Saccharomyces cerevisiae S288C: one gene and its partners. Changing the gene in region 4 together with the main gene of any one other region gives a genetic interaction. Each region holds a gene or a part of one and is shown on either strand. Other genes may lie near its edges. The genes, in order: ANS1, YMR316C-A, ITR2 and OAC1.

What was found.
Region 1: mutations in OAC1 (region 4) and ANS1 together harm fitness more than expected from each alone (negative genetic interaction), as found in Saccharomyces cerevisiae (one large-scale study listed by BioGRID).
Region 2: mutations in OAC1 (region 4) and YMR316C-A together harm fitness more than expected from each alone (negative genetic interaction), as found in Saccharomyces cerevisiae (one large-scale study listed by BioGRID).
Region 3: mutations in OAC1 (region 4) and ITR2 together harm fitness more than expected from each alone (negative genetic interaction), as found in Saccharomyces cerevisiae (one large-scale study listed by BioGRID).

The regions. Positions count from the first base shown.
Region 1 is NC_001140.6:356,650-364,870, reverse strand, and holds ANS1 (Ans1p), read left to right. Parts: upstream 1-4,689; coding exon 4,690-5,169; downstream 5,170-8,221. Other genes in the region: ARP1 (actin-related protein 1), read left to right, coding at 718-1,872; FUR1 (uracil phosphoribosyltransferase), read right to left, coding at 2,106-2,756; YHR127W (uncharacterized protein), read right to left, coding at 3,227-3,958; YHR125W (uncharacterized protein), read right to left, coding at 5,708-6,013; transcription factor NDT80, read right to left, coding at 6,427-8,221.
Region 2 is NC_001145.3:902,028-910,398, reverse strand, and holds YMR316C-A (uncharacterized protein), read left to right. Parts: upstream 1-4,425; coding exon 4,426-4,737; downstream 4,738-8,371. Other genes in the region: YMR317W (uncharacterized protein), read right to left, coding at 1-3,035; DIA1 (Dia1p), read right to left, coding at 4,564-5,574; YMR315W-A (uncharacterized protein), read right to left, coding at 6,006-6,113; YMR315W (uncharacterized protein), read right to left, coding at 6,550-7,599; PRE5 (proteasome core particle subunit alpha 6), read right to left, coding at 7,986-8,371.
Region 3 is NC_001147.6:120,052-126,470, forward strand, and holds ITR2 (myo-inositol transporter ITR2), read left to right. Parts: upstream 1-3,949; coding exon 3,950-5,779; downstream 5,780-6,419. Other genes in the region: TPT1 (tRNA 2'-phosphotransferase), read right to left, coding at 5,946-6,419.
Region 4 is NC_001143.9:214,975-223,962, forward strand, and holds OAC1 (Oac1p), read left to right. Parts: upstream 1-2,369; coding exon 2,370-3,344; downstream 3,345-8,988. Other genes in the region: DGR2 (Dgr2p), read left to right, coding at 1-1,726; VPH2 (Vph2p), read right to left, coding at 3,596-4,243; Hsp90 cochaperone SBA1, read left to right, coding at 5,350-6,000; serine/threonine protein kinase PRR1, read right to left, coding at 6,370-7,926; DNA-(apurinic or apyrimidinic site) lyase APN1, read right to left, coding at 8,378-8,988. UniProt on the Saccharomyces cerevisiae protein: Antiporter that exchanges dicarboxylates and sulfur oxoanions across the inner membrane of mitochondria. Exports alpha-isopropylmalate from mitochondrial matrix to the cytosol, where it serves as a precursor for leucine biosynthesis.

The DNA of each region.
Region 1 (8,221 bases), on a different chromosome or scaffold from region 4:
ACAAACTAATGATTTTCTACTAGGTCTTACTTCGATTTCTCGACACCGTACTCCAAGAGCTAAAGCTTTCAATACGTATGGATTGCTTCGTTGCTCAGAAAGGTTAACATTAATCATTTTAAGGTTTTTGTTTATAGACAGTACTTTATTTTCGCTTCATTTTTCCAGTTTATATTTCAATTTAACAAAGGCAATGCCTCTAATTTCAAACAAGCAACATAATACAGTATTTATTGATCAACGTTTGATTAGAAGTTGAATTTTGAATGGGTATCGTCTGGTAATTCCAAAGAATAAAAGAAATACCTGTTTTACCATGATAAACAGTGTTTATTATACCACGTTAAAAATCATTTCTTGAAGGTAACGCTTTCATCAACCTATAATAAGACTACAGAAAAAAGCTCATAAAAGAATGCTAAGTAGCATAATGTTCTGAACAAGAGCTCAAAGCAAAGGACACAGTACACCTGTGTGACGGTGAGTTTCCTATTGCCTTCTCTTTTTCCGTTTGTATTAATCTTTTCAAGAAAAAGTTCATTTCCAAAGTGGCCATTTTCGCGATGCACATCAATAATGATAAACACCTTTATTGAATAATAGCGAAGCAAATAGCAGATATTCCCAATAAAACAGCAAATTAATAAAAGGGCATAGACCAAGGAGTACATGCTAATGCTATACCACGAATTGAGGAATTAGAAAGAAAGTTAGCCAATGGACCAGCTAAGTGACAGCTATGCTTTGTACAATCAACCGGTAGTGATCGACAATGGTTCTGGGATCATAAAAGCAGGATTTAGTGGTGAGGAAAGGCCTAAAGCACTGGAATATTGTCTCGTAGGAAATACCAAATATGATAAAGTTATGCTCGAAGGTCTGCAAGGAGATACATTTATTGGAAACAATGCCCAAAAACTGCGTGGATTATTAAAATTACGATACCCCATAAAGCACGGCGTGGTGGAAGATTGGGATTCTATGGAACTAATATGGTCATATGTGTTAAATGAAGTCCTACAGTTGCAAAATATAGGTGAGCATCCTTTATTAATTACGGAAGCCCCGATGAATCCTTTGAAGAATAGAGAGCAGATGGCTCAAGTATTGTTCGAGACCTTTGACGTATCGGCTTTGTACGTTTCAAACCCTGCTGTTCTGTCATTATATGCTAGTGGGAGAACTACAGGTTGTGTAGTTGACTGTGGTGAAGGATACTGTAGCACTGTTCCCATATATGACGGCTTTGCATTACCTGCGTCTATGATGAGGATGGATATTGGAGGAGCAGATATCACAGAGCAGTTACAATTTCAACTACGGAAATCAGCTGGTGTTTCGTTGTTTTCCAGCAGTGAACGAGAGATTGTTCGCACGATGAAAGAGAAAGTTTGTTATTTGGCCAAGAATATTAAAAAGGAAGAGGAGAAATACTTACAAGGTACTCAAGATTTAATCTCGACATTCAAATTGCCCGACGGGAGGTGTATAGAGGTGGGGAATGATCGATATCGTGCTCCAGAAATATTATTTTCACCTCAAATCATCGGCTTAGGGTACGATGGATTATCTGATATGTGCATGCAATCTATTTGGAAAGTCGATCTGGATTTAAGGAAACCTTTACTGTCATCGATAATCCTAAGTGGCGGAACTACAACGCTTAAAGGCTTTGGAGACCGAATGCTATGGGATTTGGAGGCATTAACCAAAGGAACATCCAAGATAAAGATTATAGCCCCTTCAGAAAGAAAATATACTACATGGATTGGTGGTTCTATTTTAACGGGGTTATCTACCTTTCAAAGACTTTGGACCAAAAAGTCAGATTGGCTAGAGGACAGTACCCGTGTTTATTCGAACCTAATGTAAGAAACAGAGTCGTTAGATTTTTCAAGCATATTTGTTATAAATAGCCATTGATACGTTTATATTATTTTTACAAAAAAAGGTAATTAAACATGCATGAACAACAAAATTGATAGTAGAAGAGACGGCAACAAAGGTTTAAAACGAGAAAGGAAATTTAAAACAGTAGAAACCAAAAGTTGATATGCGGCTTCAGCCGTTCTGAACCTTCAAGATGGTGTTCGGGTGTGATTTATTTAAACACAGTAGTATCTGTCACCAAAGTCACCCAACCCTGGAACTAGATACTTGTTTTCATCTAGACCTCTGTCGAGGGCACCAGTAACAATTCTGACCTCTGGGAAGGCGGCATGGTATTTTTCAATCCCTTCCTTACTACAGATTAGGTTTAAGAAGTAAATTCTCTCTGGCTTAACACCTCTCTTAATCAAGACTTCTGTAGCCATGATAGCACTACCACCGGTGGCCAGCATTGGGTCTAATAGGAAGACATACCTTTCAGATATATCCTCTGGTAATTTTTCGTAGAATAACTTTGGTAAAGCAGTCTCCTCGTCCCTTTGAATTAAAATTTTACCGATACGCACAGACCTACAACAGTCTCTTAATCCTTGCTCCATCGATTCACCAGCTCTGACAATGGAAACACCACAGATTTTACCCATGAATGAGACACCTTCGAAGTTTTCGTTGGTGTCAGTTTCCACAATTTGCTTTTGCACAGGTAGATGGTTCAAACCTTCTTCAACCAACAATCTGATGATTCTATCGGAGTAGAAAATGAAATCAGGTCTAGTTGTATTCTTATTTCTGATGATGGTGTACAAACCCAGCAATTGGTTTGTTTGAGGTAGCAAGTAGACGTTCTTAAATGGTTCCGAAGACATTTTTTGCAGATTTCTAGGTTTGCTAACGAAAGACCCTTTGTTTGGATAATATATAAGATATGTAAGGTACAAGAATGGAGAAGCCAAAAAGAATAACGGGTTCATGGTTCAAGAAGAAATGAAGCTAGTATTGGAAGAGGATTCTTACCAATATATATATCTCTTTTGAGGCAGCTTTGAAAGAAGAAGTGAAAAAAAAAAAAATTTTGAAAAAAAAGACGGAAAGGGAAAAGTCCGCCGGAGATAATTACAACTGTCGATTTTTTATGCGATGAGATAAGCTTATAGAAAAACCGGCCTTTCTGTTATTGCAATGACCTGCTTTATAGTTTATGAAATAATTACATAGGTCGATTACTAGTAGAATGAGGTATTGTTATTAGGCAGTCATGAGAAAGCATGTCTTCAAAAAAATAGTTTGTGGCGGGGATTTTGCTGATTAAATACCTTGTGAGTGTCGTTGACAAACTCTAATACGACAAGTGGGACGATTCATCAGATGCAATCACCACTTGGATGCGCCTTCCATCAACTAGAGCGCCATGGAACAGTTTTCTTACCTTCTCCAAAGACTGTGTTGTAGGATATGCCAGACGGACCTTAGCGGTGGCAGATCCTGAAGGCAGGTCTCTAACCCTAATTTGAGCTATCTGCACCTGAGAAATGTTTTCCAGAACATTTTTCAAGTTTTCTTGGTTTACTCCCAAAGTTAGGTTGAATAGCATTAACAATTTATCTGAAGCATCTGAATTTGTAGATATCACAAGCTGGCTGCCACCTTGTATTTCTTCGCCAAAATGTTGTCGCTGCAATTTAATATTAGTGGTAAAATTCCGAGAGTTCTTGGCCCTGTTCATGCCGTTTGCTTTTTCGCTCTGCCAATCGGTTCCTCTGTGGGCATTGCCCCAGTCAGGACTGCTGTTTATGTCTTTGTGGGGCCTATTATTCTTTATTCCCTTTTTCCTATTTCTTTGGGAAACATTAGTTCTTTTATCGATAGCACCCTGTGCTTCTCTTAACAGTACACCGACGTCATTGCTGCTTACTAGCTTACCGTTGACAACGCTAAATCCTTCTTTAGTGTGTTCTACGGTTTTTTTTTTCGCTACGCCAACTTTTTTAATCTTGTCCATGGGAACCACTCTGTCTATTAAGCGTTTACTTTGAACATTTTTCTTGGAGGTTGTTCTATTTCTAGCCATTTTGTGCTCTGATAGATATTTCTGCCTGCTCCAATCTAAGACATTGTATATTTTGAGGTTACTATGATCTCTAATCAATTCACGGTGTGTATCTTCTAAAAAATCTATGGATGGACCTTTTTTTTTTTCGCGTTGGCCCTGAAAGTTCCCTTACCCGGTTGCTTTTCCTGACAAATTTCTGTAATGACAGTAAATGAGGATGAAAAGTAGACTTTGGATACAATATCACTGCAGATTCGGCAAACTGAGGTGTTGATGTAAGTTGTTCTCACCGTGAATACTACCTCATCAATATGTATTGGGTAAGTGCAGCTCTTTTTTCTACCGTAATATTTCTTTGTATGGTAAAGTCTCGAACACTTTTCCTTTCCTTTTTTTTTATATTTCTTTTTATGCTAACTAATTTTTCTCTCTTCGAAAATCCAAAAAGAAAGTTTCAGTCGTACCTGGTACCTTGAGTCGCGATTCTTCGTAGTACAAATTATAAATCTAGACCCCACTTTGATTACTTTTGATGCCAAACGTTTCTTTTGACCTCTTTCCTTTTTACTAGCATTTGTAAAAATATCCATGTTTTTGTAGCTCGAGGAATACTATATAAAGGTGAACCTCCTCCTCAAAAATAGCCAACATTAACTTCAATACTTCATGTAATTTAATTTTTATAATCTGTTCAGTCAGCATATAAAAAATATAGAACAGAATCAAACGAACATCATAATTAATCTACCATGAAGTGCACTTTAGTTTCCACATTGTTTGCCATCACCAATATTCTAGTTGCACATGCACAAGTAAGCAACTCCTCAGACACGTTGGACGTACAATTTGCGAATAGTACGAACTCGTACATAGAAGGAAAATTTAATTCGACTGATGAAGCCTTCAACAGCAGCGCATCTTGGTCCTTAGCAGCTCAGCAGAAAAAGATATCTAATGCAGCTGTATATGATGTGGGTGGTTGGAATGGCTCATTGTATCGTTCCAATAGAAGCGCTGTTGCAGATCATCAACCCGGCAAAAAGCAAGATGCCGCTATTTCACAGATCAGTGATGGTCAAATCCAAGCCACTGCGTCTGGACCTGAGACTACCGCTGCTACTACCCCAAGTAGTACCGCAAATGTCTCTGTCTATGAAGGTGCTGGTATGAAGGTTGAATCCAAGAACATGGGTTATATAGTTGGAGTAGCAGCGCTATTATTTTTATAATTTGGCCTCCAAATGTAAAAATTGTACAATTAAGGACAATAGTATTTTCATTTTATAAAAAATATGTACATGTTAGAATTTTATAAGCCGAAAAAGCAGTCATTTTACCAGTTGTTTTATTCTTATCAGATGTCATATTCATGAAAACATAACACTGGCCTACACATTACACTGATTTTGTTCTTTAGGACAAGAAGTTTTCCAGAAAGAGTTTGCTGTCATTCACCACCAGTATATTATCATATACAGTATAAGGAGATGACATGAGTCGTGAGAAGTAGTCAGCGAACTTTATGAGAGCTCAAATACAAGGATTGGTAAAGCAATAGTAAGAATTGAGTAAAATTATTACACAACAGTTGGGATTTCGTTGTTGTGAAAGGTTATAATATTAGGTTTTCAAAAATATATTAAAAGCCACCCTCGAAGATACAATAATTCCAAAAAGGGTATCGATACTTTTACACAATATTATTCTATTACACTACTAGTCCTTGCGTTTCAGCTTCCTTTATTTTTGATGACTTTTTTTCAATCTTTACGTAATGTTCTTACACACCATGTGATAATACACTACTAATGTGACTACTAGTTGACGGATGATGATGTTCCTTATTACAGCAGTGTCAAGCCAAATGCATACATCGTATATTAATGTGCGCCACGTTTGACGTTTAAGTGTCACTGTGCTATTATAGAATAAAGAAAATGTTAGCGAGTATTTCATACAGTACTGAAGCCGAATTGAAGATAATTGAACGTTGCTGTGATAATTATTCATAGAAATATTACAGAGGATCGTATTAAATGTTTGGCAACTACCAATCATTATTGCATTGATCATAATCAATAATGAATGACAAATATAAGATGGGGAAGAAGTAATGATAATATTATGTAGAAATATCGATTCCCTTTTGTGAACTTCAAGATCTCCGAAGAGAACTTCTAGTATACTCTGTATACATAATATTGTAACATTGATTAACAATTGAATCTCAAAATTATCAAATTATTCACCCAATCTTCATTATTCACCAAATATTCCCAACTATCAGTAGTTCTTCTGGCAACTAATAAAATACTTAACCTATTCTATGTAGATATGAAGGGAACTGATAACAAATAGTAAGCGGATTTAGCTCAGTTGGGAGAGCGCCAGACTGAAGAAAAAACTTCGGTCAAGTTATCTGGAGGTCCTGTGTTCGATCCACAGAATTCGCATATTTTTTTAACGATTTAAAATCATTAGTTTATTTAATACTTATAGAAACTATCTTCCTCAAACAATTCTTCCCTATTAAATATACCAGATGGTAGAGTACCGCTTGCAATCAACTTGACCCCTTTCGAATATACCCTATCTGCATTTTCTGCATCCATTTTTTGATAATAATTTTGAAACGAACCTGTTTCTAATATTCTTGAAAATGTCCTTGGCACATCCTCTTCCGTAGCTGGGAAAAGTGCAGTTTCCAAGTGAAAATTTTCTGCTGAGTTAGGTAGTATAGAGAAAGAAATATTTGAAAGGGAGAGTTCGTTACCATAGCTTGTTTTGCATTCAGAACGTGAGCCTATCTCTGGTCTTAGATAATTCTGTTCCATTGATTTCTTCTCTATTGTTATATCATAATTTTCATGAGGTAATTCATTGATTTTTTTGAATGCTAATGAGCCTACTTTGAAAATATTCTCATGTTCAAAAGAGCGTGCCGGTTTCAGTTCGATTTGCTTCATATTAACAGAAAAACTACTTGAGTAAACTAAATCCTCCTTTTCTAAACACCCTTCCATACCTCTTGAAGATGAACTCGGATATTTCAGAGAGGAATCTGGACATTGATTTTTCAAAGCACCCAGTTTGTTCTGGATATGTTCAAGAGTCTCCACCCTTTTATTTGGCCTGAAGAACGGATCCTCATTTTCCTTCGAAGCTTCCATTGGTGTGGATTGACGAGATTTGATAGGCGAGATGGAGGCCCCAGAGTTCGGTGCACCTAGCGCCACTTTGGATCGCCTTTTCGAAGGTCTTGCATTTAAGCAACTTTCATTTAACGGCTGCGCCATTGATGGCATTTTTCTTTTTGTGCTGTTTTGTGAGGAATTGACACTCGACGGTGTTCTCACAGTTATTCGCTGAGATGACGCATAGTTAGAAGGTGATCTTCCTCTAATAATAAGAGGAGGCGTTTTCATTTCTTGCAAATACACAAACATCCCTTTTGATCCATTTTTTAAAGCCAGTTCATCATAAGGAATTCCGGGATTCTCCCCATGAAAGGTATCTGGATCTACCACTGCACCTAAAATTACATGCAAGCTAAAGTGTTTATTTTGTTGGGATGGTTTCTTCACGCTAATTGATGAAGCAAATTGAACTCTTTCATAACGGGCAACTTTCTGAATAGAATCTTCTGGATAGGAAAACAATAAAGAGTCCACTCCATATTCTTCATAATTAACGTGGTCTCTGTGCAAATAAAAAGTGGAATCGTATTTTTTCATTTTAGTGATATTTCGAACATTTGAAGCTTCTCTTATGATTTGATGTTTTGGCAAAGGGGAAGGCACCAACGGACATACTGAAGGACAAAATTGAGGACCTTTGTCGCGTTTCGCTGTATGCTGGACGAGATTGATTTCCGTGTCGTCGTCGTCATTCTTAGCTTTTATTTTGATAGCGAAATATTGCACTCTTAATCTGCTTTCTACTGAAGAGTCTTCAACGAGAAGATCAAAACTGCTCTTTAAAAAAGTATCCAAATCACAATTTGCCGTTTCAAACGTTGATACTAAGGTAAAATAATTTCTTTTATAACCTACCCACTCTTCATCAATATGGTCGAACCCTCTGTCAATTCTTGGAATAATTCGTAAATCTAGTGTTCTTCCGGTATGAGACTCAACGACTGGACAATAATCTCTCACTAATTCAAATGGAGGTCCCACTTTGAACTGTAGTGTTGATCTAGGGGCAATTTTTAGTTTCCTTTTGTCGAAATAATTCGAAGTGGTGCCATCTTCATTCAACTGCGTAAGGATAACAGGCGTA
Region 2 (8,371 bases), on a different chromosome or scaffold from region 4:
GGGGAAGTTGATGGTGAAGCATTCGTTGCAACGGATGTATTTCCTGCAGCTTTACTTTCTGATGGGGAAGTTGATGGAGAAGCCTTTGTTGTTGGTGAGGTTTTTTCGACAAAAGATGACGAGCTCCTCACCGTTTCTGATCCTGGTTTAGCTTTTTTAGTTTCCTGAGAAGTCTTCATATCCTTAAAACTTTCCGAAAACGTGGACGTTTCGAAATTACTTATTTTAGTGCTAGTGGTATGTTCTGCCTCATCTCCACTTGTGGTCGATGTTACTTCTTTTTCTGGGCAAGTAGTAACAGTAGAAGCATCAATATCTGTTATAGTAATAAGTGTGGTTGACTTTCTATTCTTGGTGCAACCACCCGAACAACTTGTAACAGTTCCTATGGCAGTAGTCTCCCTACTTACGATTACTGTTTTGGTTATGTTGTAATTAGGAGTAGGGTTGCTGCAATTGACTGTTGAAGTTAAAGTTTCAATTTGTTTAGCAGTAGCTAGAACAGTTGAATTAAAGATATTTCTGGCATGAGCGGATGTTGAACTTAGGGAAGAAACAAATGTAGTTTTGTTAGGGAGTGATGTTGCAATTCTAGAGGCAGTTGAGGAATTTCCAGACCTGTCGATTCTGGGTGTGACCAGGATGGAGCTAGAGGTAGTTGATTTGCTTACAAGTTGTGCACTGGATGTTGAAGGAGCACTGAAAGTAGTTAAATTGTGGGCCGCTAATGAGGAAGTGACGTCGCCACTCGCTAATGGCACGCTGGAAATGCTTGAAGTGGATTCAGTAATGAAACTAGCTGTACTTGGCGAAGGTCTAGCAGAGGTAGAATTATTTATAAATGGGGCACTTGTGGTCATACTGGAAACGGTTGAAGGAGCCTCTGAAGTAACCAAAGTGGAAGTAGTTGGAGAGCTTTCAGGTGTCGAGAAACTATAACCTGCCAATGATGAGCTAACGACAGTTGAATTAATTGCGAGTGACGCACTACTGGTGGAAAAGCCGGGAGTTATCACCGAAGTATGAGAGCTCATGGAGCTAAATGTGCCTGTTGGAACGTTAGAAGCACTTGTAGCGTTGGATGTTGATAAAGAACGGGCAGTAGCTTTATTACTCAAAAGCGATGTACTAGATGTGGCCAAATTGGATTCGTTTGTAGTTTCAGAAGAAGTTATACTAGAGACAATTGATGAAACGACTGAGTTTTTTGTTTTGGTGACAATCAGCGAGGCACTTGCAATGGTGGAATTATTGTCAGATGGCGCACTGGAGCTAGCCAGGTTAGAGGAAATTGATGAAGCTTCCGAAGAGGTGATATCAGACCAGACCGATGGAAGTGGAGATGCGGTTAAACTGATAGACGCTGATGGAGAGGTTGTAACGGTAGAACTATTGCCGAATATTACACTAGACTTACTCAAGTCGGAGGAAGTAGATGAGGTTTTGGAAGTGGCCATTCTGGAATTACTTGACGAAACCTTAGATCCAAGTGTACTAGATGCGGCGGATGTTGTGGTAGAAACGGTCGAATTGTAACCCGTCGACAAAGAGCTTTCAATGATTGAATTGCTTGCTAATGTCTCACTAGAAGGTCTTAGGCTAGAAGTTACTGACGAAGCTTCTGTAGCAACCAAAGTAGAAGTAACTGATGTATTTTTAGAGCTAAACAGTCTAGAACTTGCTAAGCTGGAAATTGCCGATGGAGCTTCCGAACTCACTAGGCTAGACGTTGCCGATGAAACTTCTGAACTCATTACGCTAGATTTTGTTGACGAAATTTCCGAACTCACTGAGCTAGACGTTGACGATGGAGCTTCTGAACTCACTGAGCTAGATGTTGACGATGGAGCTTCTGAACTCACTGAGCTAGATGTTGACGATGGAGCTTCTGAACTCACTACGCTAGACGTTGCCAATGGAGCTTCCGAACTTACTGAGCTAGATGTTGTTGACGAAATTTCGGAACTCACTGAGCTAGATGTTGACGATGGAGCTTCTGAACTCACTACGCTAGACGTTGCCAATGGAGCTTCTGAACTTACTGAGCTAGATGTTGTTGACGAAATTTCGGAACTCACTGAGCTAGATGTTGACGATGGAGCTTCTGAACTCACTACGCTAGACGTTGACGATGGAGCTTCTGAACTCACTACGCTAGACGTTGCCAATGGAGCTTCCGAGCTCACTGAGCTAGACGTTGCCCATGAAGCTTCTGAACTAATTACGCTAGACGTTGCCGATGGAGCTTCTGAACTTACTGGGCTGGAAGTGATGGATAAAATTGTAGAGGAAAATGGTAGGGTTTCAGAAATAGTAGAGCTTGCGGGGCTGGAAGTACTTGATAGTAGGGAAGAAACATCGGACGTGCTTGAACTAAAAACTTCCTTTGAGGCATCGGAAGTAGTACCAACTGAAGTGACAGCCGATCCTGAGGAACTTATCTTTGGAGAAGATGAAACGTCAGTAAGCGTGGTAAATGTGGAGGATGTGACTGCAGTTGTATCAGAAGATGAAGCAGTAGTTTCAAGGACAGAGGACTTTCCCAATGGCTCCGAAGAGGAACCACCTCCATTTGATGAACTGGTTTGCGGGGAAGATGTTTGAATAGCACTACTACTTATGGAGTCAGTCTCTGTAGTGGAGCTGGACAGTTGTGCATTTGTGGAGGAAAGCGCACTGTATGAGTTTGAGGGGCCAGAGGTTGATGATTCGACATCGTTGACTGATGTACTAGAAATATCGGATGATGTGTAAGAAAGAGAAGAAAAAATGGAAACCAATGACTCCGATGATAGAATTGAGGCAATTGTATCAGAGGAGAGCGACGAGCTAGAAGTAAACTCGGGTACAACAGAAGAAACTAATGTGCTAGAACTACTGACAATAATTTCTGGGCTAGTTGTAACTTTAGTGCTTGTCGTGCTTGTCGTGCTAGTGGTAGTAGGCGTAGTTGTACTGGTTGTGCTACTAGTAGTAGTCGTGCTACTATGCGATGTGGTAGTGGCTGTGGTCGATTTTGAACCAGATGAACCCATTTTGATACGGCGCTACCCTTTCTTGTGGATACCTTTTCTATGACAGAATCATTGACAAATCTGAGGGAACAAAATTACCACAGGTGTGAGTGAGACTTTATATAAAATTAATATTTCATTTTTAGCTTTGTTCCACTTGAGAGGAACATGGGCAAAGATAGAGACTAAGAAAACATGTTTTCAGAACTTTACTGTTGACTGCTGAACAGTCTTAGCAAGATGCTTATTTTTACGTGAGTTCTAAGTCGCCGTGGACTGACACCTTCGCTAAATTCACAGGCAATGATCGCAAACGAGCTTCATGAAAAAAAGTTTATTTTGGATCAGATCTGCGCATGGTCCAGAAAATTCGCCTTAACGAAAGGTACACAATTTTGCATTAAATGTCAAAAAAAATAGAATATGCGATACAATTATACCTGAGATGAATTTAGTAAAGTAGGTGCAAAAGATGGTATAATACTTGAGCTACATCTGGGAAACTAAAGCACATTTTACGTTCAAAGCGAATAGTAAATTAGAGAGAACAGTTGCGCGTGGAAGGCACGGGCACCGCTAAATCTAAAGAAATTACATACTATTTCATTCTTGCTGTCATTTTTTCCTCATTAATCACCACTTTTAAGCAGGATATAAGAATAAAAAACTCGATTTGAATAAAAACTATGCTTTCCTTGGTACATACGTCCTTTTGAGTACATAAGTAATGTCAACTGTGTAGGAAAGAGGTGACGTCCTAGGCTCGGCTGTGTGATATTACTTTTTAGAACCTTTTTGATAGAGGCTAAATGGTAAGGAAAGTTAATTTTATTCGAATTTTGGGCCACCTCTCTTAGAAAGGATTACTGCTAACTTCATAGTGTCAGATCACTCGTGTTTGTTCTGAATAATGAGGCAGGCGGTATACGAAAGAAGATATCCTGCTTATTTGGCTCCTATTGTTCAATTAATTAATCGATTGGCCAACGACTTTCCTATCGTATAGAAGAAACTGTTTGAAAAAAGATGGCTTATCCAGGAAGGCGCCTGAACAAGTTCTTGCTTCCCACAGTAAAGAAAAATCAAAATGGCCGCCATAGCGGTGCAGGAAGGTCTTGCCTATCGAGGATATTGTTTTTACTCCAAAAGGAAAGAGGAAAGTTAACAAAATCAACTTTTCAAACGGAGAGTATAACACCCGGAAGTTAAAAACTGTGAGGAAGATAAAAAGAAATCTTCACGAAGTTTTTTCCATTTTGGTGATCTAATGAAGTCAGCTATCACTTTTTTGCGCTACGGGCTTTATGTGACGCAATAGCCCGTGCCACTTTAAACTTTTTTGTGCCTTGGCACCTTTGGCAGTATACGAAGAAGATCAATTAAACAAGAACGACGAGATCTCGGACAAGATATGACAGGGTTTAAAGTTTCTTCTTTTTTTTATATTCTGGCATTGTCCCGCTTTTTCAACGCAGGAAGGGAACGAGCTTGTGATAAGTTAAAAATTACAGTTACACATCTATACTGGTTTATTATACGCAAACTTTTGTTACATGAGGTTCATGTTCATGTTAGTCGTGTTTGCAACGTTTCTTTTATTTTGTCTCCTTGCCTCTTTCGCAATTTTTTTACGTTGTCTCTTCATGTACTCTATGTAATGTATGAGCAGGCTCTGACACCCGAGTTCTTCCGTCAATGGTGGGATATTATTCAATCCAAATGATCCTTGATCTGTGGAATACTCGCCAAGAATTAAGTGGCCCTCTTGAGCGACCCACCTAAAAAGAGATGTTTCAAATTCTCTAGTATAATGAGCTGCCACGAACCTCTGAACTTTTTGATCCTTTTGGTCGATGGACATCTTATTTTTAGCGGCTCTAATGACATCTTCATCCAAACGATTCACTTCATAATCTGCTAACAGAATTAATTTATAATGATCGTTGGTAACTACGGGCGAATAAGTGACATGCCACCTGAGATTTAAATTATTCACTTTAGTGTCCAAATCCCTGTGTCCTTCTCGGTGAGCCATTGCTAGTAAGTTGGGCTCCGTAGACGTAGTCCCTACGAAGCTGTAAGTTACGTTTGCTTGGCTGACATTTTTATATATGTCGTAAAGAGGCACTTTATACAATATTAATCCGTTGTTTGAGCAAACGATTTTTGCCACAGTATAAGGCGGAGGTTCGTCTGCCGTTCTTAAAATAAATTTGAAAATTTTATAATATGGGACATTGCCGACCACAGTATTGCTATGACCTCTTTTACCAAACGGTAGAGTGCAATTGATAATTTGGAATAATGGAATACCAATTGCATCTGGACTCAGCTCATTCGAATACTTTTTAGTGTTTTCAAAATTTTCAAGCGATTGCTGAGACGGAAACATGAAAAACCCATCCTCGCCGTTTATCTCGGCTATGGGCATTCTTCTTTCCCTATTAAAATGAAAGCACTCTGGGACACTTTTGCTATCGGACATTTCAATCTTCAATCTCTGCTCATCTTTAAGCCCATCTGCTGCTTTCTTAAGAAGGTATCTACTTATTGAACCCATAATCAGATTTTTCTTGAAAAACTTTTAATGGAAGCTTAGCACCTGCTTCGGTCTTCTTTATCTTGGCGAACTTTGCCAAATCTGTAGTTGTTTCAAATACTGTCATGTTGGCAGTCTTCTTTTTATATGCGTTCACGCCGATGGCCAAGCCTACAACATTTTCTCAAAAAGGGACCATTGTCCCTTGCTGCGCCAAAAAAAAGAAATAGGCGCATACGTTCCGTCATCTATCGCTCACAAAAAGTGGAACCGGTAGGATTTTATCACTGACACATACCGTTGTACTAAGAGAGCAATTAAGTCGACAACGCAATTGATATGCGCTCTTCGTTATCGAACCCTAGCGGTGTATTTTTCGGACAAACTTACTGTTCATTATGGCCGAATGCTTACCTAAAACGACACTTCTGGTCGTTTTCAACTCTCATGCTCTAAGCAATTAGGCTTTTGGGGCGAAGCGGACAAGCTCTTAAGGCCGTGAATAAAGAAAGGGAGATGAAAGGACGCCGTAGCAGCTGCAATAGCTTTCTTTCGGTCATCAAAAATCCCAGTGAATTCTTGGGGGACACTTGTGGGGTTGCATTACTCGAAATGCTTCGGACGAGTACCTGATTCGTTAAACATATATATATCTCATGGTGAATTGGAAACGGTTGTAGATCTTATATAGGAAAAGTCATTCATAACTAGTTCCATGCCGACTAAGTATTTCGTCCAGGCTCGGCGTTCTTGTTGAACGAATTTTCCCATAATCATCCAGATTTCCAAGAACCTCGCCTTCGTAACATTTTGCAACAACAAGTGGATGGAGAATTTTGGCTATTTTTAGTTCAAGAAAACTTAGAAATTTTTCAACGGTTTTTTATCTCGTTAGTATTATCATTCCAAAAGTATACTTATGTGGGTACATAGTTATAAATATATGAGGGAATCTATCTATTAAGGTTAAAAAAGCGTTACATCGTAAAACGGTAATCATGGCTGCTCAATTTTAACGTAGTCACCATTCTTGGCAGAAGATTTTAAAAACGCGTCCACACAAGCCAAATGGTGAAATGCAGTTCTGGGTGTGCCTAGGTATAAGGATTTGTCCTTCTTGCTGACAGCTTCGTGAAAATTCAAAAATTCAGCGTTGACGCCGAAACTTTCATCATTATCGACTTTAAAAATTTGTTCGTCACCGTTATCTTCAGCTGAACCCCCTAATTTGACTTTTACAACGGGGTCTTTTTTGTCTGATAAGTCAACGGTAACGGTACCATTCTTACCATAGACTTTCAAGAAAACCGACTTTTCGGTAGCACCAAAGGCAGACCCATAAGTAAAACTTCCGATAACCTCTTTATTTTTCAACTGGACAGTAGCAAAGACAATATCATCTGCACCGGAACGTTCACGCACCTGTCTCGTTAATGCAGAAACAGATCCAAATTCACCGAGTAGGGAAATAACGAGAGCTAATTGGTGGACACCACCATCAGATAGAAATCCGCCAATGTGCTCTGGTTTTTGTCTCCAGGTTGTGGTCAAATATTTATTTTGAGTAACAAATGGACCGGTAGAATTGTGGGTGAATGCTACTACAGGACCAATTTTCTCGATCTGCTCCTTTGCGATTTTAATACATGGTAAATATAACCAATTTTCAGCCACACCAACGGGCAATGGGGTGGATTCTGCTATCTTGACAATCTCCTTTGCTTGGTCTAAGTTGGCCGCAATTGGTTTTTCCAAAATAACTGGCTTACCTGCTTTAACTGCCTTCTCGACAATATCAGCATTAAATTGAGCAGGTAGCAAAGCGTCAATGTAGTCGACATGAGGGTCATTCAAAATTTCATCTAGATTGTCGTAAACCTTATTTTCAGGTATGTCAGCAACCTTTGCAAAATCCAAAGCTTTTGCCTTATGTCTGTTGAAGGCGGCAATGACTTTGAATTTGTCAGGAAATTCCTGGTAGGATGGGAGATGTCTATCTCTGGCAAAAATACCTGTACCAACTATACCGACGTTCAATGGGGACATTTTTGGCTATTACTTTACTTTTTGGAACCAAGAAGTGATTATGGGTCTATTCGATGTACAGAAACAAATAGGTTTGAGCGAGTTCGAAAGTTTATCCAGAATAAGTAGTTCTTTTTATAGACGAACACCTATGTATTGTGATACATAATCATGCTGAATTTTCAACAGGGGATAACTCCGTTTATTCCCCGGCGGAGGGCGGAATTAAGCGGGGTTATTAGTTGATTTGGAAGCCACGTCTTTTTTAATTTTGAATGAGAAGTGAGACTACGTACTAAGTTAATCTATTATTATCTTTATATGTAAAAAAACCCCGACCGTGGTGAAAGGCTTCTTTGGTCTTGCTTTGACAATTGCTTAGTGGAAACGATACTTTGTGTCCAGACCTAGATGTATTTAGCAACAGCTTCTCCATCGTAAATTGTAAAAGGCGTATCCTTACCCACGATGGCGATTGAAAGATTGTCTACAGTCAAGGATTCGTCCCTTAGAGACTGGCTGATAGCCTCGACGCCAGCTTTGATTAGTTCATCCGGGTTCCCGTCAATTTTTATAAACGTGTCTAAAGTTCTCTCTAGATAAGTCTTTGCCCCTTGGCTTCTTGCGCCAATAGCTGTACCATATAGTTCTGTGACATTTCCGGAAGGTTGGAATTCTAAAAGATGAGCACCGCTCTTGTCATACCCGATGATCAACAAACCAACACCGTAGGGTCTGCCCCCATAGGATTGTGTATTTTTCTGTGCTTTATCGCAAAGCAAATGACCTGCTC
Region 3 (6,419 bases), on a different chromosome or scaffold from region 4:
ATCCTATTTCATCTCATTTACTGATGAGACAACAAAATTCCGTTGGGTTTATCCATTACACGACCGTCGCGAGGACTCTATCCTCGATGTTTTTACTACGATACTAGCTTTTATTAAGAACCAGTTTCAGGCCAGTGTCTTGGTTATACAAATGGACCGTGGTTCTGAGTATACTAACAGAACTCTCCATAAATTCCTTGAAAAAAATGGTATAACTCCATGCTATACAACCACAGCGGATTCCCGAGCACATGGAGTCGCTGAACGGCTCAACCGTACCTTATTAGATGACTGCCGTACTCAACTGCAATGTAGTGGTTTACCGAACCATTTATGGTTCTCTGCAATCGAATTTTCTACTATTGTGAGAAATTCACTAGCTTCACCTAAAAGCAAAAAATCTGCAAGACAACATGCTGGCTTGGCAGGACTTGATATCAGTACTTTGTTACCTTTCGGTCAACCTGTTATCGTCAATGATCACAACCCTAACTCCAAAATACATCCTCGTGGCATCCCAGGCTACGCTCTACATCCGTCTCGAAACTCTTATGGATATATCATCTATCTTCCATCCTTAAAGAAGACAGTAGATACAACTAACTATGTTATTCTTCAGGGCAAGGAATCCAGATTAGATCAATTCAATTACGACGCACTCACTTTCGATGAAGACTTAAACCGTTTAACTGCTTCATATCAATCGTTCATTGCGTCAAATGAGATCCAACAATCCGATGATCTTAACATAGAATCTGACCATGACTTCCAATCTGACATCGAACTACATCCTGAGCAACCGAGAAATGTCCTTTCAAAAGCTGTGAGTCCAACCGATTCCACACCTCCGTCAACTCATACTGAAGATTCGAAACGTGTTTCTAAAACCAATATTCGCGCACCCAGAGAAGTTGACCCCAACATATCTGAATCTAATATTCTTCCATCAAAGAAGAGATCTAGCACCCCCCAAATTTCCAATATCGAGAGTACCGGTTCGGGTGGTATGCATAAATTAAATGTTCCTTTACTTGCTCCCATGTCCCAATCTAACACACATGAGTCGTCGCACGCCAGTAAATCTAAAGATTTCAGACACTCAGACTCGTACAGTGAAAATGAGACTAATCATACAAACGTACCAATATCCAGTACGGGTGGTACCAACAACAAAACTGTTCCGCAGATAAGTGACCAAGAGACTGAGAAAAGGATTATACACCGTTCACCTTCAATCGATGCTTCTCCACCGGAAAATAATTCATCGCACAATATTGTTCCTATCAAAACGCCAACTACTGTTTCTGAACAGAATACCGAGGAATCTATCATCGCTGATCTCCCACTCCCTGATCTACCTCCAGAATCTCCTACCGAATTCCCTGACCCATTTAAAGAACTCCCACCGATAAATTCTCATCAAACTAATTCCAGTTTGGGTGGTATTGGTGACTCTAATGCCTATACTACTATCAACAGTAAGAAAAGATCATTAGAAGATAATGAAACTGAAATTAAGGTATCACGAGACACATGGAATACTAAGAATATGCGTAGTTTAGAACCTCCGAGATCGAAGAAACGAATTCACCTGATTGCAGCTGTAAAAGCAGTAAAATCAATCAAACCAATACGGACAACCTTACGATACGATGAGGCAATCACCTATAATAAAGATATTAAAGAAAAAGAAAAATATATCGAGGCATACCACAAAGAAGTCAATCAACTGTTGAAGATGAAAACTTGGGACACTGACGAATATTATGACAGAAAAGAAATAGACCCTAAAAGAGTAATAAACTCAATGTTTATCTTCAACAAGAAACGTGACGGTACTCATAAAGCTAGATTTGTTGCAAGAGGTGATATTCAGCATCCTGACACTTACGACTCAGGCATGCAATCCAATACCGTACATCACTATGCATTAATGACATCCCTGTCACTTGCATTAGACAATAACTACTATATTACACAATTAGACATATCTTCGGCATATTTGTATGCAGACATCAAAGAAGAATTATACATAAGACCTCCACCACATTTAGGAATGAATGATAAGTTGATACGTTTGAAGAAATCACTTTATGGATTGAAACAAAGTGGAGCGAACTGGTACGAAACTATCAAATCATACCTGATAAAACAGTGTGGTATGGAAGAAGTTCGTGGATGGTCATGCGTATTTAAGAATAGTCAAGTAACAATATGTTTATTTGTTGACGACATGATTTTATTCAGCAAAGACTTAAATGCAAATAAGAAAATCATAACAACACTCAAGAAACAATACGATACAAAGATAATAAATCTGGGTGAAAGTGATAACGAAATTCAGTACGACATACTTGGCTTAGAAATCAAATATCAAAGAGGTAAATACATGAAATTAGGTATGGAAAACTCATTAACTGAGAAAATACCCAAATTAAACGTACCTTTGAATCCAAAAGGAAGAAAACTTAGCGCTCCAGGTCAACCAGGTCTTTATATAGACCAGGATGAACTAGAAATAGATGAAGATGAATACAAAGAGAAGGTACATGAAATGCAAAAGTTGATTGGTCTAGCTTCATATGTTGGATATAAATTTAGATTTGACTTACTATACTACATCAACACACTTGCTCAACATATACTATTCCCCTCTAGGCAAGTTTTAGACATGACATATGAGTTGATACAATTCATGTGGGACACTAGAGATAAACAACTGATATGGCACAAAAACAAACCTACCGAGCCAGATAATAAACTAGTCGCAATAAGTGATGCTTCGTATGGCAACCAACCGTATTATAAATCACAAATTGGCAACATATATTTACTTAATGGAAAGGTAATTGGAGGAAAGTCCACCAAGGCTTCATTAACATGTACTTCAACTACGGAAGCAGAAATACACGCGATAAGTGAATCTGTCCCATTATTAAATAATCTAAGTTACCTGATACAAGAACTTAACAAGAAACCAATTATTAAAGGCTTACTTACTGATAGTAGATCAACGATCAGTATAATTAAGTCTACAAATGAAGAGAAATTTAGAAACAGATTTTTTGGCACAAAGGCAATGAGACTTAGAGATGAAGTATCAGGTAATAATTTATACGTATACTACATCGAGACCAAGAAGAACATTGCTGATGTGATGACAAAACCTCTTCCGATAAAAACATTCAAACTATTAACAAACAAATGGATTCATTAGATCTATTACATTATGGGTGGTATGTTGGAATAAAAATCCACTATCGTCTATCAACTAATAGTTATATTATCAATATATTATCATATACGGTGTTAAGATGATGACATAAGTTATGAGAAGCTGTCATCGATGTTAGAGGAAGCTGAAACGCAAGGATTGATAATGTAATAGGATCAATGAATATAAACATATAAAACGGAATGAGGAATAATCGTAATATTAGTATGTAGAAATATAGATTCCATTTTGAGGATTCCTATATCCTCGAGGAGAACTTCTAGTATATTCTGTATACCTAATATTATAGCCTTTATCAACAATGGAATCCCAACAATTATCTCAACATTCACCCATTTCTCACCTTCAGCTCAAATCCTCATCCCGGAACCTTTTTTCTTATTTGTTCCCTCTTCTACTACAAGAGCTTTCAAATTGTAGTCAAAAACCCGCTTTACTAAAAAAACATCGCCAAAAAAATTTCCAAAATCGCTCGTCTTGCCACTAAAAGTATGCAAAATATTATGTGAAGCAAAGTTATTTCGTGTCTTCCGCCTAACAGAACGTAAGCAGTTGACCATACTTTAGTATAGAGTACGAAAAAACACAAAGAATACCTTAATAAAATAAACATTGTCGTTCGCTAGGAAAACGGTAACGAAAACAAAAAACTAAAAGAAGAAAAGAGGCAGGACGCAGTAAAAGCAAGAAAACTGCTTTTTTTTCATGGCTGAAATGAAGAATTCGACAGCTGCTAGTTCCAGATGGACGAAGAGTCGTCTCTCCCATTTCTTTCCCTCGTACACTAATAGCAGTGGTATGGGGGCCGCCTCAACTGATCAATCTTCTACGCAGGGAGAAGAACTGCACCATAGGAAGCACTGTGAAGAAGACAATGATGGTCAAAAACCGAAAAAGTCTCCCGTATCCACCTCTACAATGCAAATAAAATCTAGACAGGATGAGGACGAGGATGACGGTCGAATTGTCATTAAACCAGTTAACGATGAAGATGATACATCAGTGATTATAACTTTCAATCAGTCAATATCCCCTTTTATTATTACATTGACATTCGTTGCGTCCATTTCTGGGTTCATGTTTGGTTATGATACTGGTTACATATCGAGTGCGCTAATTTCTATCAATAGAGATTTAGACAACAAAGTTTTAACTTATGGAGAAAAAGAATTAATTACGGCCGCCACATCATTGGGCGCTTTGATTACAAGTGTGGGCGCTGGTACTGCTGCTGATGTGTTTGGAAGAAGACCATGTTTAATGTTCTCCAATCTGATGTTTTTGATCGGAGCAATTTTACAAATTACCGCGCACAAGTTTTGGCAAATGGCGGCCGGTAGACTGATTATGGGTTTCGGTGTCGGTATTGGTTCTTTGATTTCTCCTCTTTTTATTAGTGAAATTGCTCCTAAGATGATCAGGGGTAGGTTAACCGTTATAAATTCCCTATGGCTGACAGGTGGTCAATTGATTGCTTACGGTTGTGGTGCGGGCCTGAACCACGTCAAAAACGGTTGGAGAATCTTAGTTGGTTTGTCCTTGATACCTACTGTTTTGCAGTTTTCTTTTTTCTGTTTTTTGCCGGATACACCAAGATACTACGTAATGAAAGGCGATTTAAAGAGAGCAAAAATGGTTCTCAAACGAAGTTACGTAAACACTGAAGATGAAATAATTGATCAAAAAGTTGAAGAATTATCTAGCTTAAATCAATCGATACCAGGAAAAAATCCAATAACAAAATTCTGGAATATGGTCAAGGAATTGCACACTGTGCCTTCAAATTTCAGAGCTTTGATTATTGGTTGTGGTCTACAAGCCATTCAACAATTCACAGGTTGGAATTCCTTAATGTATTTCTCCGGTACAATATTTGAAACTGTTGGATTCAAAAATTCTTCTGCCGTTTCTATTATTGTCTCAGGTACTAATTTTGTGTTCACATTAATAGCATTTTTCTGTATTGATAAAATCGGCCGTAGGTACATTTTACTGATTGGACTACCTGGTATGACTGTGGCGCTGGTTATATGTGCTATAGCGTTCCATTTCCTAGGTATTAAGTTTAACGGTGCTGATGCAGTAGTGGCATCTGATGGATTTTCATCTTGGGGCATTGTCATTATCGTATTTATTATTGTGTATGCAGCCTTTTATGCCCTCGGTATCGGCACTGTTCCATGGCAACAATCGGAATTATTTCCACAAAACGTCAGAGGTGTAGGGACATCCTACGCTACTGCCACCAATTGGGCAGGTTCTTTAGTCATTGCGTCTACGTTCTTGACTATGTTACAAAATATTACACCAACGGGTACATTTTCATTCTTTGCCGGTGTAGCATGTTTATCAACCATTTTTTGTTACTTTTGTTATCCAGAACTATCAGGATTGGAGTTAGAGGAAGTTCAAACAATTTTAAAGGACGGATTCAATATCAAAGCCTCTAAAGCTCTAGCTAAAAAGAGGAAACAACAGGTGGCCGAAGGTGCTGCCCATCATAAACTCAAATTCGAACCTACACAGGAAATTGTAGAAAGTTAGACTGCTACACCAACAAAAAATAAAAGATAAAGAACAAAAAAGAAGGAAGAAAGCTATAAAAGGGAGACAATTCATTTCATCTAATCTTAAAAGTTTTTATTTAAATATATAAGTAAGAGCGAAGTATTTAAAAATAAAAATTCATAAAAGTTGAGCTTGATGAAAGTTATATCTTTTCGAGCGGTATGTTTCTTTCGTGTAAAATTCTTCTTAAAGTATCTAACTTCTCCTCATCTTTCAAGTTTCCTTTAACTACAACTTTTTGGATCAATTCAACGGGAATACTGCTGCTTAAGTAAACATTATTGAGCGACCTGAACATTTTCAAAGTTTGAAAGAATAATGGAGAATGGCAGTCGATGAAAATATAGACGTTACTTGAAGAACGCATTCCACTAATAACTCCCTTCGCGTGCAACATCCCCGGCGATAAATGGACATGATTTCTACTCATTGGTGATATTGCTCCGGATTCAATAATCTTTATGACAGATTGAAGATTTGTTCCATGAATTAGTTCCTGTGGTAACTGCGACGCTTCAGTAATTGGTACGAGAACCTCATCTGATGGCTGAATCGATTTGATTGAATGTCCCTGAGTAGCACAGATCCATTCTTCGTCCGCTCCTAACGTTTTTAT
Region 4 (8,988 bases):
GCACGCTTTAGATATTTTGGATGCAAACTGGTCCAAAAATGGATTTCTAATAACAGCATCAATGGACAAAACTGCAAAACTATGGCACCCTGAGAGGAAATACTCATTGAAAACTTTTGTTCACCCAGATTTTGTTACATCCGCAATATTTTTTCCCAATGATGATCGTTTCATAATTACCGGATGCTTAGATCACAGGTGTAGACTGTGGTCTATACTGGACAATGAGGTTTCTTATGCCTTTGATTGCAAAGATTTGATAACATCCCTAACATTATCTCCTCCTGGTGGGGAATATACAATTATCGGTACATTCAATGGATACATTTATGTTTTACTGACACATGGATTAAAATTTGTATCTTCATTCCATGTATCTGATAAAAGCACTCAAGGAACCACTAAGAATAGCTTTCATCCATCTTCCGAATATGGAAAGGTCCAACACGGCCCTCGAATCACGGGTTTACAATGCTTCTTTTCTAAGGTGGACAAAAATTTAAGATTGATAGTTACGACAAATGATTCAAAAATTCAAATCTTTGATTTAAATGAAAAAAAACCTTTAGAGCTTTTTAAAGGATTCCAAAGTGGTTCCTCACGTCATAGAGGCCAATTCCTAATGATGAAAAATGAACCTGTAGTTTTCACGGGAAGTGATGATCATTGGTTTTATACCTGGAAAATGCAGTCCTTTAATCTTTCAGCAGAAATGAATTGCACTGCTCCGCATAGAAAGAAACGGCTGAGCGGCAGTATGAGTTTAAAAGGGCTGTTGAGAATTGTATCTAATAAGAGTACGAATGATGAATGTTTGACAGAAACGTCAAACCAAAGCAGCTCACACACATTTACCAACTCATCAAAAAATGTTCTTCAAACTCAAACTGTTGGTTCTCAAGCTATCAAAAACAATCATTATATATCATTTCATGCCCATAACTCCCCTGTCACATGTGCTTCCATTGCTCCCGACGTTGCAATTAAAAATTTGTCCTTGTCAAACGATTTGATTTTCGAACTGACTTCACAGTACTTCAAAGAAATGGGCCAAAATTATTCAGAATCTAAGGAAACATGTGATAACAAACCTAATCACCCAGTTACAGAAACAGGAGGATTCAGCTCAAACCTATCGAACGTTGTGAATAATGTTGGAACCATTCTAATAACAACAGACAGTCAAGGTCTAATCCGTGTTTTCAGAACTGATATCTTACCGGAAATACGAAAAAAAATAATAGAAAAGTTCCATGAATACAATTTATTCCACCTCGAAGCTGCTGGTAAAATCAACAACCACAACAATGACAGCATATTGGAAAATAGAATGGATGAAAGAAGTTCCACAGAGGATAATGAGTTTAGCACAACCCCACCATCTAACACGCACAATAGTAGGCCAAGCCACGATTTTTGTGAGCTGCATCCTAATAATAGCCCGGTGATTTCCGGCATGCCATCAAGAGCTAGTGCTATTTTCAAGAATTCGATCTTTAATAAATCCAATGGAAGTTTTATATCCCTAAAGTCAAGAAGTGAAAGTACGAGCTCCACGGTGTTTGGACCGCATGATATTCCGAGAGTTTCTACCACTTATCCGAAGTTGAAATGTGACGTCTGCAATGGATCTAATTTTGAATGTGCTTCCAAAAACCCCATTGCTGGCGGTGATAGCGGTTTCACGTGTGCTGATTGTGGTACAATCCTCAATAATTTCAGATAGAGAATCAGAAAGTAAGAGGAAAAACTATCTGTTCCACCGTCTTTAGATCATAAGCATGTCTGCAAATAACATAGTATTATTATTTATATCTGTAGCGATCTTTATTATTTTTCATTACTGACACATTTTCTCACAGAACCATCTACAACCCGAAAGATGCCGGAAACGGTCTTAGGCCGATGGGGTCTATTAGGGCCTACAGAGACGTCAATTGGGCTATAAGAAAAATGAAATCGAGGAAAGATTTTCCACTCTCAAATTAAGTAGGGCAAAAATATGCTTTTGTTCGCATGTGGTGTTATTCCAGTTGCGAGTCAGGGTCTGCCGATATGCTAAAGGAGGTCACGAAAACGAATCTGGCATTTAATACCTCATTAAGTTACAGCGGAATCGGCCTTCTGTTGCGGAAAAAAAAAAAAAAAAGAAAACGAACATTAAGCACCGCTGAAATTTCAAGCTGTGACTAAGTCGTCAAATGATAAATACTGCATATATATAAACTATGTGATTATATGCAACATTAAGATATACTTTCTTCTTCCATAATGCCCCCACTCCAGAACTCCATCCGAAATAGTTTTCCTTAGATTGCTATAGCAAGTCAGACACAAGCACATCTCATCGAATTATATCGTAAGCAAATATGTCATCTGACAACTCTAAACAAGATAAACAAATTGAAAAAACAGCCGCCCAGAAGATATCGAAGTTTGGTTCGTTTGTGGCTGGTGGGCTAGCAGCATGTATAGCTGTTACAGTTACTAATCCGATCGAATTGATTAAAATCAGAATGCAGCTTCAAGGTGAAATGTCAGCATCAGCTGCAAAAGTTTATAAAAATCCAATCCAAGGTATGGCGGTAATTTTCAAAAACGAAGGTATAAAAGGTCTGCAAAAAGGGTTAAATGCTGCTTATATCTATCAAATTGGGCTAAATGGTTCCAGATTAGGGTTTTATGAGCCAATCAGATCATCATTAAATCAGCTTTTCTTCCCAGATCAAGAGCCACATAAGGTACAGAGCGTCGGAGTTAACGTCTTTTCTGGTGCCGCATCTGGTATAATTGGTGCAGTCATTGGCTCTCCATTATTCTTGGTGAAAACAAGACTTCAATCATATTCCGAGTTTATAAAAATTGGTGAACAAACGCACTACACCGGTGTTTGGAACGGGTTAGTAACCATTTTTAAAACCGAAGGTGTTAAGGGTCTATTCAGAGGTATTGATGCGGCAATTTTAAGGACAGGTGCTGGTTCCTCTGTTCAACTACCTATCTACAACACAGCAAAGAACATTTTGGTCAAAAATGATCTGATGAAAGATGGCCCAGCATTACATTTAACTGCTAGTACTATCTCTGGGTTAGGTGTTGCCGTCGTTATGAACCCATGGGATGTCATTTTGACAAGAATCTATAATCAAAAAGGTGACTTGTACAAGGGACCTATAGATTGTTTGGTCAAAACTGTTAGAATCGAAGGTGTAACCGCTTTGTATAAGGGTTTTGCAGCTCAAGTGTTCAGAATCGCACCTCATACAATCATGTGTTTGACCTTCATGGAACAGACAATGAAACTAGTTTATTCGATAGAGTCGAGAGTTTTAGGCCATAATTAATTCCCATAACAAACTCCGAGGTTTGAAGTTTCATTCATTGGCCAGGACAGTTCTACTTTACTAATGGTTTCATTACAACCTTTTTCTTCATATTATGTAGCATTAAGGATAATAGAGCATTTTTTATTTCACATTCATACACGATAGTTTTATAAACGTAATTATAAACATACAGAACATTATTCACAATTGTCCAGTTCCAAGAATTATATGCTCTCGGATCTCGGAGTTCTTATTTATAAAATGATCAGTTACAGTGTAATCTTGCTTAGAACTTTCTTTTTCTCAACCTTTGTTTTTTCTTTTACTTTTGCTTCTTCGAGTTTTTTCAGATAGCTGTTATACACAACCACATCTGCTACTAAGACCAATATTCCAAAGAACAAGCACAACAAAAGACGAACATGGACCGGAAAGTTTGTTGAAGATCCGGTCCAGTACCAAATGGCCACAACAACCGATATGACACTTACAAGAACGTTGAAAACAGTGGTAACTTGTTCCTTAATCTGTTTATTAATTTGTGAAGGCGTGAGTTCATCGTCTTCTTGAAGTGAAAAGACAGACTTGCTTCTCTTGACCATACTTTGATATTCAAGTTCTTGTTCCTGATATTTCAAAAACTCTAATTTTTTCTTGAAATCCTCTGAATAGTGTAAACCTCTGACGGCCTTGGGCTTGAATTCGAACTCCAAAGGTTTCAAAAGTTCTTTGATAGAGCATTGGAGATCACTGTCTTTTCTATACTCTTTCACATAAAAAAGAAGTGACTGCATAGGTATTGCGTGTCGCTTCAGGAACAAATCAATGTCCTCATCAATTCCTTCGTTTGATTTCGCGCTATTCTTGAACTTTCGCAGAAATTCAGTTATTCTATCATTCAGTTTAATTTCGAACATTAGAGTTCTTTTATGTGATGCCAATCGTCAATTATCCTATCTTACCTTTTCTTCATTTCTTTCAGCGTTTTCATGTGAGATTTGCTTTATTTTCGCTTCCTCGTTTCTCATTTTAAATATTCACACGTCCGTCATGTCTACTTTGAGTCAGTTAAATACACAAGATTTTTGTAAAACTGAGTATTTCGTGAACAATATAATTGTTCGGATTCAATCATAGTTAAAGACTATAGTATGAGATACACAGAATATCCTAAAAGTTCCCCTCGAGGGTATAGGAAACCTCAAAATGGAATCGGTCTTTCTACATGATAATATTACTCTAACTTCTTTTCTTCTATACTTTGCCATTCATTACCCTATCACGTTATCAATCCTTGCATTTCAGCTTCCATTAAGACCGATAACTGTTTCCCAATCTCTATGTCATCATCTTACACCGCTGTGATAATATTCTAGGAAGACGAATACTAGCCAATAGATGATACAAGGATTTCATTTCGACAGAAACAAAAAAAGCATGGAAAAACGAATGGAGACAAAGAGGAAGTTAAAGAAAGTTCATTTGTGACCTCATTTACTCAGAAGAATTTCGTAAATCGGTTGTTATAGAACTGTTTTATTGTTTAAAAGAGCTTGTTATAGTAATCTAAGTGGAAATACACTAACAGTAAATAGGGCGTGTGGCGTAGTCGGTAGCGCGCTCCCTTAGCATGGGAGAGGTCTCCGGTTCGATTCCGGACTCGTCCAATCTTTTTATACTTATTAATAATTTTTTTCCTGCCGTTACTTGCTTTTAAAATAACTGCCTTTTATGAATACAGAGTATAATTTTTGATATACAAAGAGGTTGACTGTGATAATCAATACTTAATTTGTGGTTATTGGTACACATATACCTACAAAAGTTACCAACAAACTGTTCGACTTTTAATGCTACCCGCCTTCCGAGTGTTTTTGAAGGGGCGGAGAGGAGCGGCAAGAATTAGCATGGAAAAAAGCATAAAAAGACGAAATGGGTGGCAATGTATTAACTTGTTCGAGAAACCTAGTGGACTCAATTCATTACAACAACAAGTTCCCAAGATCATCGATTCATAATAGTCATGTCCGATAAAGTTATTAACCCTCAAGTTGCATGGGCTCAAAGGTCTAGTACTACTGATCCAGAAAGAAATTATGTCTTAATAACTGTGTCAATTGCAGACTGTGATGCCCCTGAGTTAACCATTAAGCCATCATACATCGAATTAAAGGCTCAATCAAAGCCTCATGTTGGCGATGAAAATGTCCATCATTATCAATTACACATTGATCTATACAAGGAAATTATACCTGAAAAAACAATGCATAAGGTTGCTAATGGCCAGCACTACTTTTTGAAATTGTATAAAAAGGATTTAGAATCTGAATACTGGCCACGTTTGACAAAGGAAAAGGTGAAGTACCCTTACATCAAAACTGATTTCGATAAATGGGTTGATGAAGATGAACAAGACGAAGTTGAAGCTGAAGGTAATGATGCCGCTCAAGGAATGGATTTCAGCCAAATGATGGGAGGTGCTGGAGGTGCTGGAGGTGCTGGAGGCATGGACTTCAGCCAAATGATGGGAGGTGCTGGTGGCGCTGGTTCTCCAGATATGGCTCAATTGCAGCAATTATTGGCTCAAAGCGGTGGTAATTTGGACATGGGAGATTTCAAAGAAAACGATGAAGAAGATGAAGAAGAGGAAATAGAGCCGGAAGTGAAAGCTTAAAAGGAGGAGCAAATCAACCTGGAGTGCTAGAATGAGTAACTTAGAATAAAAGACGAATATATGCACTTTACACAACTCTTTACCTGTTTGTTATTGGCTGCCTCTATGTAATTAAATATTATGGAATTAATAAAAATATTTTTATTCGTAACTATCTTAGATATATATTGTACATTGTCAAAAAGACAGTAGTAAGCAGATAGAAGCTATATTGGATGCAAAATAGAGAAAAAAGCAGAAATATTATGTTGCAAATGTCAAGTAATGGAACTGTATGTGATATTTAAAGAACAATTTCTATATGCTGGATGATTATCAGGTGTAAGCAATAAGAAAGAAAACGAAAGTAACTCCCATCCGTGGGAAATTTCAAGAAAAACTTAGAGTATCAGCGATCGTTTTAACGAAGGGGGATTCGTAAATTTCATTAATCGACCAACGTTGGTTCTTCCTCGTTAGCGTATTTTCCACAATCTGTTTTCCCACATTAGTTTTATAATCGCTTAACCGGTACCATCTCCAATCAAACCTGGCAATACGATGTGACGTAGCTCTGCTACGCTGTCTTGCTGAAGCGTTTGGAGGAGGGTCAAATGGTAATCTGTCCTCAAACAAGCTGTATAGTATGACACCTAAGGCCCACGTGTCGCTTAAATGGCCATCGTAGGGAACTCCCATCAGGATTTCTGGTGAGACATAATCCTCTGATCCACATCTTGCTGTACACATCTCATTGTTCTCAATTTTTTTGCAGAGACCAAAATCTGCTAGCTCAATGAAATTTTGCTTGCAGTAAATGGGTGAGTCCCTAAAACTGTTGATATCATCAAAACTATATTTCAGTAGTATATTCTCTAATTTTAGGTCCCGATGAATAATACTGTTTTCGTGCAAATATTTTACTGCCAGTACTACTTCCGTAAAAATCCTTTGAATCAGCCACGCTTCTAGTCTTCCGTTACGGGCCATGACGGCAGCTAATAAGTCTCCTGCAGGACAATAAGACATAATCATATCACAAGGCGGCAGAGCTCTTGGAGTTTTTATAATCAAATCGCATAAAGGTTTTTTGCTAGTAACAAAAATTGGATTGTTTATCCCAAGTAGTTTAACTATACATGGGTGATTTAGTGATTTTAGCACCTGCAATTCCCTAGTCAGAGAATTTTCCAAACGGGATAAAGTTTCCTTATATCGTAACGATGTATTGATTTGTTCAACATTTGATAATTCCTCGGGATATTTGAGTCGTTTAACGGCCACTTGTTTCAGTTTAGGATTGCTTTGGTCCATGAGTTCATATAAAAGTACGGTACTAAAATTTCCTGAACCAATGGGCCTGACCTTTTTCCATAATAACGGGCGATCCCAGTGATCTAAAAGAAATCCCTGAAATATATCATCGTCACACTTTTCGGTAGAACTACTACTTTCGGGAAAATAAGGTTCTTTCGTGTAGTTATCACTATCAACAGAATCATTTACTAAAGCCTCTTCAGTCACTGTTGGTAAGGAAACAACCCTTTGGGGGGATAAATTAGCTGGTGCAATAAGTTCAGAAACAACTCTTTGGTTTGGTTGTGTAACAGAAAGCATATCATCCAGTAATCGTGCATGACTTCGTCTTTTGGGTATATTCAACGAGGATTGATCTATAGGTGACATTGACAGATTGCCTGGGGATAACGGAGTGTAGGTCATCGGTGTAGGTAATGCTTGGACATTTTCAAACGTCGGAATAGATACAGTCAAAGGTGTACTGCGAGAATCACCAGTGGTCCCTTCAGTGGATGCCATTTTTTTATCTTCCTCACCATTTTCATCAATCAATGCCTTTTCGTGTTGATCGCCAATGGAGTCGGGAAATCCTTCTTGTTTCAACCGAGGAGTCTTTGGTTGTGAATATATACTACTATATTCATCCATTGTCGGTATAACCTAACAGCTGCTGTGGGTATGGATGAATTCGAAGCGTAGATGTGATTACTATCTCAAAATATACTTGTCTAATTGTGTAAAAAAGAAAAAAAAGATAAAGAACACACCCCGCGTTGAAGATTACAAGTAAAAAACTTTCTATGCTTAGGAATAACGTTCCATAAGAGGATGGTGTGCTCAGCCTTCTTAGTTCATTTACTGGAATGTATTTAACTTTACCCTTTTCGTCTGCTAATCCATCAGTATGTGAAAAATGAAAATCTAAAAAAAAAAAAGGCTGCCTTATTCTGTAACGCAACGCGAAACATCTATAAACCAAGTAAGTAGTTTCTATGAAATGGGCAACAGCATCTTGGATGACGAAGGGTAGCATTTAGTTACGTACGTTGAGATAATCTACAAAAATTGATTACGTATTTAAAATTCTTCTCGCTTCTCATTATTCTTTCTTAGTCTTCCTCTTCTTTGTCATTTGTGACAAGATATCATTATCGCTTGGCTCTGCAGTGGCTTTCTTCCTCTTGGTGCCCCCAGCTCGCTTCTTTTGTTTAACCTCAAACTTGTCTAACTGTTCCTTACGCGATTTAGCACCTAATTTCTGCAGCGTATCATTTTTTTCTTTATACTCCTTGTCTTCTAACAATTCGCTCTCACTCTTTGATTCCAACCACTCCATAAGTTTGATTTCATTACCATAGCCTTCATCATTTTCGTATGGAGTTTCCAAGACAATAGGGATACCCTGCAGGTATTCAGAGTGCGCGATCATTCTAAACACATCTATACCCAAATAACCTTGACCCAAGCGTTCATGCAAATCTCTATTTGCTCCTAAAGGAGCCTTGGAATCATTTAAGTGAACAGCACTTAGATATTTGAACCCTATTACATCATTGAACTCTTTCCAAAAATTGTTAAACGTTTCAGTGGTGCTGATATCGTAGCCTGCTGCAAATGTATGGCATGTATCTATGCAAACGCCGATTCTTGATTTATCTTCAATCATTCCAATAACCTCCTTCAAATCTACCAGAGAACTTCCTACTAAAT